4 linked regions of the Drosophila melanogaster genome follow. The protein of the gene in region 1 interacts with the protein of each later gene in a pairwise test. Each region holds a gene or a part of one and is shown in the gene's direction. Other genes may lie near its edges. The genes, in order: DCTN3-p24, CG5516, CG15152 and CG7164.

Evidence for each region.
Region 2: the proteins of DCTN3-p24 (region 1) and CG5516 interact in a two-hybrid assay, tested with the Drosophila melanogaster proteins (one large-scale study listed by BioGRID).
Region 3: the proteins of DCTN3-p24 (region 1) and CG15152 interact in a two-hybrid assay, tested with the Drosophila melanogaster proteins (one large-scale study listed by BioGRID).
Region 4: the proteins of DCTN3-p24 (region 1) and CG7164 interact in a two-hybrid assay, tested with the Drosophila melanogaster proteins (one large-scale study listed by BioGRID).

Annotation. Positions count from the first base shown.
Region 1 is NT_033778.4:23,060,901-23,064,631, reverse strand, and holds DCTN3-p24 (dynactin 3, p24 subunit), read left to right. Parts: upstream 1-2,038; 5' UTR 2,039-2,121; coding exon 2,122-2,700; 3' UTR 2,701-3,212; downstream 3,213-3,731. Other genes in the region: CG9890 (uncharacterized protein), read left to right, coding at 411-657, 712-1,823; Fatp2 (fatty acid transport protein 2), read right to left, coding at 3,375-3,731.
Region 2 is NT_033777.3:15,962,308-15,965,316, forward strand, and holds CG5516 (uncharacterized protein), read left to right. Parts: upstream 1-1,576; 5' UTR 1,577-1,743; coding exon 1,744-1,790; intron 1,791-1,857; coding exon 1,858-2,341; 3' UTR 2,342-2,454; downstream 2,455-3,009. Other genes in the region: CG4287 (uncharacterized protein), read right to left, coding at 231-1,232; CG32856 (uncharacterized protein), read right to left, coding at 2,500-2,712, 2,767-2,877.
Region 3 is NT_033779.5:18,112,817-18,115,758, forward strand, and holds CG15152 (uncharacterized protein), read left to right. Parts: upstream 1-1,730; 5' UTR 1,731-1,866; coding exon 1,867-2,205; 3' UTR 2,206-2,404; downstream 2,405-2,942. Other genes in the region: CG44476 (uncharacterized protein), read right to left, coding at 26-254, 315-319.
Region 4 is NT_033779.5:7,779,597-7,783,260, forward strand, and holds CG7164 (uncharacterized protein), read left to right. Parts: upstream 1-1,868; 5' UTR 1,869-2,038; coding exon 2,039-2,255; intron 2,256-2,315; coding exon 2,316-2,944; 3' UTR 2,945-3,164; downstream 3,165-3,664. Other genes in the region: Uro (urate oxidase), read left to right, coding at 522-1,095, 1,165-1,649; Brd7-9 (bromodomain containing 7/9), read left to right, coding at 3,395-3,452.

The DNA of each region.
Region 1 (3,731 bases):
AGTATAAGCATTGAATCACAGAGTTCCGAAAAAAACATTTTTAACCGATAAGATGCTGCTGATTCATCATAGTCTGTTGAAAACTTAACGAACAATGTATTTGTAAGTTTCAGAATTTTAATTCACAGATAAGTTACAAATATTTGAATCGTATAATATCCTATAAGGATATTAACATTTCCAGTACGTGTTGTCTACATCGAAAATACTGAATATCATTTTTTGATTATTTAGTCTTCATAAGACAGTTGTAAGTATTTATTTAATTTTTTTTGTGCATTAAATTAAATTCATTAAATTTTCAATTGTTTCCAGTGTACGTCATAATTAAGCTTATCTCGCAAACAGTATTTTGCCGCTAAGCACCTGCGGTCACACTTATTCGTGGAGCACCAGGAGAACGTAAACAAATGGAGCACGAGGTGGCTGTTTCAGGAGGGGATTCCTCGCTGGAGGAGATCACTGGCAGTTCGAAACTCAAGCCCTCCAAGAACACGGCCATCAAGTGCCTGAAATGCGACAAGGTGTACATATTTCCGTCAGATAAAGATGACTGCCTGGCGCATTTGTATATGGAGCACCGACTGGTCATCGCCGATGTGGAGGATATAGCGCTTCTGGAGGACTACCTCCAGTACTGGGAAAAGGAGTTTCACAGTGAGAGAATCAGCAACCCTACCCTGAAAATTTAATAATTGTTACCCATTTTAGCCCACGAATTCGAGCAATATTGCACCACAATGTTCCTGGATCAGCTGCCCGATGGCAAGTACGCCAAGAACGAAAAGTACTACCTGCTGTGTGACATCCTGCCCCAGGACTACGAGCTGCGGCGAAGGTTGAAGGAGAAGCGCCTAAGTGAAGCCCTGGAGCGACATCAGTTCGAGCTAACCGACCGCACCTTCTCCAAGGAGTGCCTTTTCTGCAGGGCCATCATCAAGGGATTGAGGGCGGACTATCTGGACCATCTGTTTGACAAGCACTTTCTGTTGGTCGGCAAGCCCGAGAAGCTGGTGTATGTGGACGAACTGCTGGATCACCTGGAGGAGAACTTGAATCGGTTAATGTGCCTCTACTGCGAGAAGATCTTCAGGGATCGGCCCACGCTCAAGGAACACATGCGCAAGAAGGGCCACAAGCGGATCAATCCGAACCGAAGGGAGTACGACAAGTACTTCCTTATCAACTACAATCGTGTACCAACGGCCCCCACGCCCCGGAAACAGCACCTCCAAAAGCGAAGACGGGAAACGGCATCCGTGTCCACAGTTGCTGATCCTGAAACCGGCAGCGTGGACTTCGACAAGCACTTCGCTCGCCCTGATTCGGATGGCGAACACGATTCGGACTGGTCGGATTGGGCGGCAGATGGTGAGCCTAGCTCCATTAAGTGCCTGTTTTGCCACCATCTCGGCGACAACTTCACCGCCCTCAAGAAGCACATGCACGAGGTTCATCGCTTGGATTTCGAGAAGGCCACCAGCTCTCTGAACTTCTACCAACGCGTCAAGGTGGTCAACTACCTGCGCCGCCAAATGTGCCTGCTGCGCTGCGTGACCTGCGATCTGCAGTTCGACGAGGAGGAGCTGCTCGTGGAGCACATGGCACAAGAGTCGCACCACGGAATCGGCGATAAGGAGAGCTGGGACAAGCCCGAGTTCTTCTTCCCGTACATCGAGAACGATGGTCTGCTGTGTGTGCTGGATGATTCCGGAGGCGATGACCCGGACGTCGATACGGTGCGCATCATCTCCGAGGATAGTCTGGCGCAGATCAACAAGGATGCGGAGCGGTTGTCCCTCGAGAATTTTAAGCTGTTGTAACTGAGATTTTTGTATTGTACAGTTTACGTTTAAAAGAAACTAAGTAAATAGCAATGGAATTTAAGTGTGTACTATATTTATAGATACGTATGCACCAAAAACTTTATGCAGAGGAGCTAAATATTTTATTTAAATACCATATTTTTTAGTCCGCATAAGGGTTAATTCGTTCTGCTTAGCGAGTACAAGAACCTTGCCACCAAGCTAACGTTGCCACCTTTTCGTTGGACATCGATTGTTTTGCAGACTGACATCATTCCCATCAAAACGAACAAAATAAAGAGAAATTCAGCGAAAAATGGAGGCACTGGACATTCTGGAGAAGCGCATCGATGCCCTGACACGAGTCCTGGGTCCGGTCCAGGACTCTGAGGTGGGCGAGGGCGTGGTCGACGCCCTGTGCTCGGCACACGCCATCCTGGGCGAAGCAACCACAGGAAGTGCTGCACTGCAGCAGTGCGTGAAGAGATCTGACGAGCTGGAGAAGTACCTGGACCCCAACTTCCTGGAGGAGCACCAGCAGGTGCGCTCCAAGGAGGTGTACCTGCAAGCCGTGGCCCCCGAGCTGCACACGCAGGCCGAGCAGCTGGAGAGGATTAAGCAGCTGGAACCGGCCCTGGGCGCGGAGTACTTCCGCAGCATTCCCGCCGAGTGTCTGGAGCAGCTAAAGGGCATAACGCAGAACAACGGGGAGTACGCGCAGCAGAGCGAACTTATCGAGGAGAGTCTGGTCCTGGCCATGAAGCGATATGGCGAGATCCAGGCGGGACTGCTGAGCTCCCTGGATGCCATGAGCGAGCGCTTGGACCAGGTAGAGGAGCGCATGGAGCAGAGGAAGCGTGCAGAGTTGAGCAAGGATGTGCCGCCCAAGGATTGAGCGGATATAGATCCAAAGACTGCTGAAAGTATTTTATACGACCCCGTTTCCAAATCCGTTCACCTGAAAATCTGGTTCCACTTAAGCTGAAGGCATCAGTTGCTCAAGCAATGGATGTAACCTAGGTTCTATTGAAAAGTGTAATCGTAGCTAAAGCCATCCCGATTTGATTGGAACTGTTTAAGGAAGCCGGGATATTAGATTTTCTAACTACTCCAACGTAAAGTGGCTAATGATGCTCTTTCAATTGTAAGTTTCATTTTTAAAAACTATTTAACTAAGCACAATAAACTAAATTACAAATCTAATGAAAACCAATCAAAATCCTGTCTTACAGAAGGAAAATGCTATAATCACATAATAGAGCACAATATGGATTTATCATTGGCTGAATTTTATTTTTATTATCTATACAATGTATACAATACGATGTGACACTTATGTATGTAGGAATTGTAGAAGGAAATAGTTACAAAATAATAATTTACCCGCGGAAACGCTCTTTCAACAGTAAATTTCCAATGCTAAAGTTTATATTGTCCGGACAATAAGAAACTTAGCCAGAATTAAAAGTAGTTGGCGCACCACAAGCCGAATCCAAAGGATATCCTCTTCACCAACATACAAGGCACAGTCTTGACTTTTCTTCTTCCCAAGAACAAAGTCCGGCGCTCCTAGAATCGCAGCTCGTTTCTAACTATCCTCTCGTATACGGATGGGGTGAGTGGAGCATACACGCCATCCGGTTGGGCGTAGAAGAGTTCATCGTCGATGATCTCCGGATTGAAGCCCTGCTGCTGAAGCTCCACCTTGCGCAACTTGAAGGTGCCCGTCAGGTCGATTTTGCGCAGGAATCTGAGAAACTGCGGCCTGGCGTAGTTGGGCAGGGATTTGGCCAGTTCCACGCCCAGCTGGCTGACGTTGACCTCCCGAGTGGGATCGTAGATGGCTGCCATTCCTGCTCTGCCCTCAGTGTTGGGTATGCTTACGCCGTACACAATCACATCCTTGTAGCCAGCCAGATTACTCAA
Region 2 (3,009 bases), on another chromosome or scaffold:
CGATTGTGCGCCAGTGGCACGCCAATTAATAATTTACAATATTGCAATTGACTAAAATCTGTAAATCTCATAGGTGTCCCCATATTTGCAGGGCAAATACCCTCGGACTCGAAGCGGGGATTGGGATTGGCTTCGCTTTGCTTACGGCTAGTAACACAATTTCAATGATTTTTCGTTGCCCTTACACCTCGGAACACTTTGCTAGACATTAATGTGCTTTTAGTGGCGGGTCACCACCGGGGACTACGTCGATTTGGTTCGGAACGCTCGTATTGGATGCTCTTGAAGCGGCTACTTGCCTCCAGATGCAGCTGCTGCTGTTTCGGTTCCGGATGTCCACGAGTGACAATGTCTTTCCAAATCATGGTCAAAAGTATGAAGATAGCACCCACAATCTTGTTCAGAAACTCGATTAGTTTAAACACTATTGGAGTGGCTGTATGTGTGAAACGACTCAGCTCAAACAGGAATCGCACAGCAAATACGCCTAGGAATCGTAGCGCTAGTGCGGCTCCACCCAAGGCAGAGAAAATTAGTAGACCCAGAAACCGAATGGTGCCCAAAATGTTCCTCTTGTTGACATCGTTGGTCATGAAGTCGTACACGGTTTGTTTGACTCCATCACCCCACTGTTGCAGCACAGCCAAAAAATCATTAAGGCCCAGCTGAATTTGCTCCGCCACTTCATCCGGCTTGGAGGAGGAGTTTTCCCCACCCGCTGTGATCGCCTTAACAGGGCTACTTCTATTAAGAATCAGTGATCTCCTCGGCGTCGCCATCAGCTCTGGCTCCACGGGCCTTATCATCTTCAGTTTGAACTGGACTTCATGGTCCCGGAAGCGAAGGGTCTTGATGCTAAACCAATACTCTCCAAAAGCCAGATCATTCATCTCTGTCCAGATGCAGGTTTCCAGTTGACCAGGATCTGCTTTGTGCTGGTAACTTCCGTAACTCCCATAGGTGATGCCCACCCACATATTGGGCACGAAGCGTTGATAAAACTTTTGTAATTGGCCGGCACTCGAGTGCAGCAGCTTCTCCAACTCTCGCTCACTGCGTTGAAGCACCACCACGTCCCGGTAGCCGGACACCTGCTCCACCAAGCAGCGTTCCATATAATAACCGCGGAAGAGACGAGACTTGTAAAGCTGCTTGGTTAGTGCTTGCATGGCCAGTTCCTCGGGCGGCATATGACGTCCGCTCGCCTGTGGCATCAACGCGCTGTTGTCCATGGCTAGCTGTGTATGAAATCCTTTATTACTGGTCAGCAAATGACCTGCAGCAACCTTACCGATTGATAGTGATTGGACTTTGTTGCAACCACTTTCGCCGCTTAGTCAGCACAGCGCTTTTGTTATTGTTTGACCAAGCAATTTGTGCCAGTCAATTAAGGGTGAAATAGCTGTCAGCTGTTGCTTATTTCTTATTTTTTTTACGACCATGCATAATGCACTTAAATTTTGGCTTAATTAACTTTAAAATTCAGACATTTCAACATAAACCAGGTAGACACAAATTAGGCAAGCAGCTGTTGAGTTCGATAGCCGATAACAATAAGGGTGACCATACCATATACAGTCGATTTGCGAAGTATACAATTTTCAGTGGACTATCGCTAATGTGACGAAAAAAATTATAAAAAACATTTTTGATACTCATTTTTCCCAGTTTTTCCACCCGGCCACGTTGGTTTCCACCCACATCAAGATTTCCTCCCAACAGCGTCTGCTCGAGTGCTTCAGGATGACTTTGGTGGGCCTAGCTGCCCGCAAATTAGCGCAAAAGAAGAGGTTAGTCGCGTTTAAGAAGTACCCCAGCCGGCTTTTTTGTTGTAACCTACGAATTCTGTAACAACAGATCCGCAAAGCAAGCAGCAGACTTTCCCAATGGCATCCGGTGCCAGAAGTGCCTGCAGATCGGACACTGGAGCTATGAGTGCAAGGAGAAGCGCAAATACGTCCACCGGAGCTCGCGTACCAAGCAGCTAAGCAAGCGTATGTCCCAAAAGGAGGCTGACGCACCCAAGAACCAGGTGGAGGAGCACTCGGAAGTGGCTTCCTCGGAAGGAAAGAAGGTCCGTCGAAAGCGGAAAACGAGCAAGAGCTCCTCGTCCTCCTCCAGCTCGTCGGACAGCTCAGACAGCAGCAGCGAATCGGGCTCCTCATCCGAATCAGACTCGAGCAGCTCCAGTTCGGATTCGGACGACGAGGAAGGCAGCTCGTCAGACTCCAGTGGAAGTGGCTCGGACAGCGACAGCAGCGAGGATCAAAAGCAGGGAGCTCCACAAAAAAAGAAAAAACGAGCCGGGAGTTCACCTGAATCTTCTGACGATCAAGAGTAATCAAGAGACCGATTTGTGGTCTGTAGTATGTAGCTTTACTAGTTTAGTTTTCCCACACTTACACCGAAAATGAACATACTTTTGGTACTGTATTGTTTATATTTTAATGCTCCCAACATGTACGTTTTTCTGGTAAAGTTCCAGCCTTAATAACAATTTTAATCCGAGTCGACTTCCTCCTCGAAACGCCTCATTTGGCTTACGAGATCCAGATCTATTTGCTGGCTGTTGACGAGATGGGACTCCATCACAGTTGTGATTGGGGACTGCTCCACCGACAGATCTATGTGGAGGGGATCCCTTCCAGGGGAGCACTGCGTTTTTGGGTTCTGCTGGCCCACCACCTGAGACTTGAGATGCAGCTCCTCTACCTGTGGAACACTGAATTGGGAAAACCGTCATTGAAGCAAGAGATTTGTAGATACCTTTAGTGAATTTAATGCCTCCTGAATGACGGGGAGCACTCGGTCGAGTTTCTTCTGGATAGCAAATAGTTCAGCCTGCTCTTTTTGAAGGACTCGATTTGTTTGCAGCATTTTGAAAACAAATAATAAACTTTAACCTTAGAAAGACCCCTTTTTAATGAAGGCCTTATATGGTATACTTCCAATGGACAAGGAAATAAATGAATTGAATTTAGATTACTTATAAAAACTAAATGATGTTAA
Region 3 (2,942 bases), on another chromosome or scaffold:
TCAAAATCATTTTAAAATCCCTTTTTTAATTCCATCGTTTGTAGATGTATATGGACAGAACAATTAAAAGCATGCAAAAATTATAAAGAACACATAAGCCAACGAAATTAAAGTTTTGCAAAAAAGTATATGGCCTTGAGTCTTCCTCAGTTAATATTTCCATATTAGAGTCGTTATGAATCGCATCGGTTTGTTCTTGGTCCACTCCGTTGAGGGTGCAACTATCTCTATCCAATAAGACATCTTTTTCTTCACTTTAAATAAACAAATTATCACTTTAATGCTTTTGAAATACTTTCAAATAAGTATTATACCCCATTTTTTTGGAGGCACTCTGATCTTTTCAGCTTGAAGGCTCTGTATAAACTGGATGAAGGCACTCATCTGCAAACATGAAAAAATATTCAAGGGAATCGAATTCAAGAACGGAGGCACACTGTACTAAAATCTTTCGGATCGTATGCAGCTTGCACCATTAAAAATGATAATATATTGACAAATTTTTAAGGGACTACCGTCCTAAGTAAAACTATATAAGAGGTATCTGTAAAGTAAGTCTGAGATCACAAGTACATTCATTAGATAAATAACTAAAATTAGTGTAAGAAAAAATATGAACTAATAAAATAATTATTTAAGAAAATTTCTGAGAGGAGTAAACTCACCATAAGAACCCTAGAAAGGGTATTTGTAAGTAAAAACCAAAGCTTTCAGAGAATTTGACTGAAACTAAGAGACAACATTAAAGAGAACCTCTCAAGACGGAAATATATACAGCTGCGGTTAAAATAATAGCACTACTGGAGGTGGAAAGTTCATTTCCTAAAAATAATTATTAAATGTTTATATTTTTTAAAGTCAGATTGCATGAATAATAAGTACCATATGTTGGCTCTCTGAGCAAGAAATTTATGGTCTCTCAATGTAAAGGTTCTTTTTGTTTTTGGGCACTTGCTGCAAAAGTGCGCGAAATGAGGCGGTAACAAAAATAGCACTGACCACGTATTTGCTGAATAATAGAGTGATTGCTTTGGGTTTTTTTCGACAAATTTTGAAAAAGGAGTTGTATTAAAGGTTTTAATTGAATTTTTTCCAAACGAAGACCAAAAGTTCTCTAGTCATGGGTCGCGGCAAGCATTTTACCGTCGAAAAAAGAAATTTGATTAAAAACATGATCTCTAAAGGTAAAAAATACGCTGAAATTGGTGGCATTGTGGGTTGTTCAAGCTAAATGATCCGCAAAGCACTGCTGTTTGTCGAAAAGAACGAAACACGGCGAAGAAAGCCCTCAATGTCGCTTGGTTAGGCAAGGCAAGAAGGAGCCTTTAAAGCCGGCGACGGAACTGAAGAAGGAGCTTCAGATAGCTGAAAGCGGGGAAACTGACAAAAAAGAGAATCTCTCAAGACGGAAACAGAGTGCCAGAAGTATATAAGTACTGAAATGCCTAATATATGAATGTAAAACATTTATCGCTTTTAATAGATTGTTATCAAAGTTGATAGGGTTTGATGATTCGTAAGTAAGCATAAATTGATAACGTAGAACAAATTGATCTCTCTTCGCAATCTCTTACTTCAATGTGATTTTCTTGTCATTTTGAGACTCTTCTCCGCTCTCGTTTGACGGGTTTTCTCAGACTTATATAGTTATCTTATCTGAGTCACAAGCAACAAAAAGAAGATTGTCAGCTCTTGACGGTTCACTGTTTGCCTTGTTGTTGCCTCAATTACCACCTTCTGCCGTGGCGATAATAACCCAGACCCCAAACTGATTGGTAATCATGAAAAAGAGGGAAGGAAAAAACCGCTGAAAATGCCCGGAGACCAGCGAATCGCTCTTTAGTCGAGAGCAGAACGCGTTTTGAAATGGACACGGATGAGACTAAGGCTGGAACCTCGGGTCCGGGGACGTACCACGATGAGGTTGACTTTACCAGCGGATACGAGACTCAGTATAAGAAGGAGTACAGCCCGCTGAAACCGATTTTTGTACCGCCGCCGGATAAAAAGCACGCCTGGTTTCGCAACTGGTCCACCATACTGATGGTCAGCTTCCTGTCCGGGGTGTTTATTCTGGGAACCGTGATGCTGGTGGTCCAAGTTTTCACCGCCAGTCCCCTGCAGATCTTCATGATCGTGGCTATATATGTGGCTATAGCCGCTGTGATGATTTGGCTGGAGGTGCAGTCTATAAAAGTGCGGTGAAATAATATGTACGTGTCGTGACTAATTTAGAGCGTTATCGCACTTACGAGCTACGTTCTGTTTTCAAACAGTGGCAATCGAACTGTGTTCTGCTAGCAAATGCAAAGCTTAACTAAAAAGGAAGCGGCTTTACTGATTAGGCGCTAAGAACAAAAAATCATGATTTAATATAAGTTCAAAGTAAAGAAAGAAATCCCATAATCCATGTGTTTTATTTTTGACTAGACAGTGCTTTTAACGTTTTCCGATAATTCCGGTTCAATTAACTAATTATTTACGGCCCATAAATGAACGTAATCTAGAGAGCGAAACAAGGTGGCCAGATAAAGGGCTTTGTGTGAGATAAGCAAACAAAAGTGAACGAAAGAATCACGAATTCAAGCCATTTAACTGCAAAATAAATACGCATTTTGTTTGTCGATGTATAAAGGACAAATGTTGTAGTGACACATTAAAGCTCCATACATCACAGAGATTAACAAAGCAAAGTACATAAAAAAGATTCCCTTATCAATTAACTAATTAAATTAAGCACGCTAATTAAAAATTCATTAATAGCGGCTTAGCGATGGAGAGTGGAAATTCAATTATTTAACGCTGTTGTTTATTAAAGGAAGTGTCACAAACCGCATCTGCGCCGGTGTTTGGCACACAAAATTATTAAAATTATTTCCACTCTCACTTGAAAAAGAAAAAATACAACGAATTTTCAACTATGCCAGTTCCCAATGGAAATA
Region 4 (3,664 bases), on another chromosome or scaffold:
TTTTCAACGCACACATTTTCAAGGTTTTAATAATAATAGTGACTCGTGCGTGAATAAGAGAGAAATTAAGATTTTAAAAAAGAATAAAATTCAGAGATGTGATCTGTAAAAATTATTTACCAATTTTCATTTACCCCCGAAAGTGATGCTAATGGTTAAAACGGCATTTGCGACTTATCTCCTACGTAATATTGCAAAAATAAGGATTTGGTTAGATGAGTGTGAAGTAAACAAGATGCAAAGTTTTGGAGATAGAAAACATAGCCTTGAGTCTTGGTCATGTTTACTTGGCACCAGGCCGCGATTATCAGCGCTACTAGTCGTAATTTGAGTTAGACCTTTAATACTCTAAGTGAGAGTGATGATATACGATTTCCCAGCCACTTGCTTTCTACGAAATGCGCTAAAAAAAATCCCTAACTACACAAAGATTTGTGTTGTTATCCAGGTGTTCTGATATAAAAGGCGGCAAGGAAATTGATGGCATCATCAGTATCAAAGTGAGAGTGATTGCAGTCACAATGTTTGCCACGCCCCTCAGACAGCCAGCTGCGGCTAACCACCAGACCCCAAAGAATTCCGCCGGCATGGATGAGCATGGTAAGCCGTATCAGTACGAGATTACCGATCACGGATACGGCAAGGATGCGGTCAAGGTGCTGCATGTCAGCCGCAACGGACCCGTGCACGCCATCCAGGAATTCGAGGTGGGCACTCACCTGAAGTTGTACAGCAAAAAGGATTACTACCAGGGCAACAACTCGGACATCGTGGCCACCGATTCGCAGAAGAACACCGTCTATTTGCTGGCGAAAAAGCATGGCATTGAAAGTCCCGAGAAGTTTGCTCTGCTCCTGGCCAGGCACTTTATTAACAAATACTCGCACGTGGAGGAGGCGCACGTTCATGTGGAGGCGTATCCCTGGCAGCGAGTTTGCCAGGAGGAGACCAGGACCAACGTCAATGGGAAGTGCGAGAACGGAGTCCAAGGGAACTGCGACTTCAGCTCCATTGACAACAGATCACTGCACAATCACGCTTTTATATTCACGCCCACCGCTCTTCACTACTGCGATGTGGTTATAAGGAGAACAGGTTAAGTCAAACATAACTAAAGCAATAATATTTAAAACTACTAAATTATCACCTCCTTTACTGTTTTAGATCCCAAACAAACGGTCATCACGGGCATCAAGGGTCTCCGGGTGCTGAAGACGACCCAATCCTCGTTCGTGAACTTCGTGAACGATGAGTTCAGATCTCTGCCAGATCAGTATGATCGCATCTTTAGCACCGTGGTGGATTGCTCCTGGGAGTACTCCGATACCGAGAACTTGGACTTCCTCAGGGCCTGGCAAACGGTCAAAAACATAATCATTCGTAACTTTGCTGGCGATCCGCAGGTGGGCGTGTCCTCGCCCTCCGTTCAGCACACCCTGTATCTGAGTGAAAGACAGGTCCTGGATGTCCTGCCGCAGGTGTCGGTCATTTCGATGACCATGCCAAACAAGCACTACTTCAACTTCGATACGAAGCCCTTCCAGAAGATTGCACCCGGCGACAACAATGAAGTTTTCATCCCAGTGGACAAGCCACATGGCACCATCTATGCCCAATTGGCCCGGAAGAACATCAATAGTCACCTGTAGATCGATCTCTGATGTAGTAAATCTAAATCAATCTAAATCAATTTAGCCAATTCATAATTGCATGCGGCGAAGTTATATATGTATTTTAAATTATTTAAGCAAACGAATCATATGCTGCGTTCTTCTTATTTAAACAATAATAAACTAATAAAAAATAAAGTGTAAAAATGAATAAATCGATTGCAAAACCATATTTCGAGATCACCCTTGCCTTGGCTGAATAAATCCAAATTATATCAGAACTATTTTCTAAAATCCTAAAATGAGGCATCGTTCATAAAAAAAAATATATAAAATAAATTCCACAATTTTCGACCACTTTGGCAGTCAAAATTCGCAATCTAAATTCGAAATTAGCAAATAACCATTTAGCCACAAACAGCGTGACCATGACCAATCGACTGGCCTTGCACCACATCCTGACCACCCAGCTGCGAAGGGACTGGGAACAGGAGGAGAGCGCCAAGACCAGGCTGTCGCAGCTGTCCAGGAGGGACAGGATCAAGGCCTCGCTAAGATCGAGTCAGTTGCCAGGACGTTACCTGTTGCCCGACACCAGAAAGACCTACGACAATATGGTGGCCAATATTCACTCGACCATGAAGTGTAAGCTGTTGTGCTAAAAACTAACCAGAAACTTTCAAAACCAATCAATCATTTACTTAGCGGTACGAGCACCACGAAGACCACGGCCAACGGGGCCGCTGCCCACATCTGGAACTCCGAATCCAGTACCAGTAGTTGCACCACCACTGCCATCGAAACTGGTGTCCAAGCAACCGCAACGCAAGTCGGCGGGGCGCATCAAGGGTGGCGGCAACTCTTCGAAGGCGGACAGTGGCCATGGCATTGCCATCAAATCATTGGCGAAGGTCAAGGCCTGCATCAACCAGAAGCAGAAGAGATCGCGTGGCTTTGAGCAGCACAATCGCATCCGTGAAGTCATCCAACAGAAGAAAGTGCTGGAGACCATGTTGCAGCAGCACAAGAAGCTGCAAAGCGATCGACACACCATAGCGATGGATATCCAGCGAATGCGTGCCGATCTGGACAGGATTCGCAACAAGCTGGACACCTCGCTGCAGAGCCTCAACTCGACGCGCACCCTATTCAGTGCCGCCAACAAGGCGAGTCTCAGGAAGTCGACCGCCCTGCAGAAGCCGACGCAAAACATGGTGACCTCCACCAATCGCCGCTCGGGTGGCAAACGAAAGGCCCGGACCGTTGCCATTCCGATGAACCGGCAAAGTGTGCTGACCAACAAGGCCCCTATTCTCAAACGAAAAGTTCGGTGAAATGCAAAGTAAAAAATGAGAAAAAAAAATGATTTAAACTTCGGCAAAAAAAAAATTATTTTCAAAATAAGGCATAAACTACAATAATTGTTCTTTTCAGTAAAGTATTCTTTCACTTTACAAGCATAAGTACATAGAAAAATTTACTGATAAAATCTGTTACTGTTTAAATCTTTGACATTATAAAATAAATTTAAATTAACAAATTTACAATTTAATTAACAATTTTTTAGTTTAAATTCAAAGCCGTAAAAATCGATATGTTATCAATTGCTTTTAGTGTTGGAAAGCAAATGGCTAATATCAGCGAGACGTCTTACAATTCTCTGGACAAAAGGAACGGTCACACTGCTCATGGCGTCTGTTTTTCGCCAGCGGATTTTTGTTTTTAATTATTTTGCTTACCATTTTCACCGATTTGCCTAATTGTTCGACAACTGGGAGCCTAAGATGGGCTCCTCCAAGAAGCACAAGAAAAACAAGTCGGAGCGACGCGAGAAATATGAAGGTGAGTGAAATGAAAGTGCTGTGTCTACGTGAGCCCCTGTTGCCATAGGCCATCTCGCTCACACATTTTGCCGCTTGTTTTTGAGCATGCCTACACTTAGAAAAAAATGGGTGTACATTATTTGTCACAATTAATACAAAATGCATGGTTAGAAATAATCTACGCGTCTAAAGGCAGTAATAATACTATTCAGCACCCATTATAATACCTAT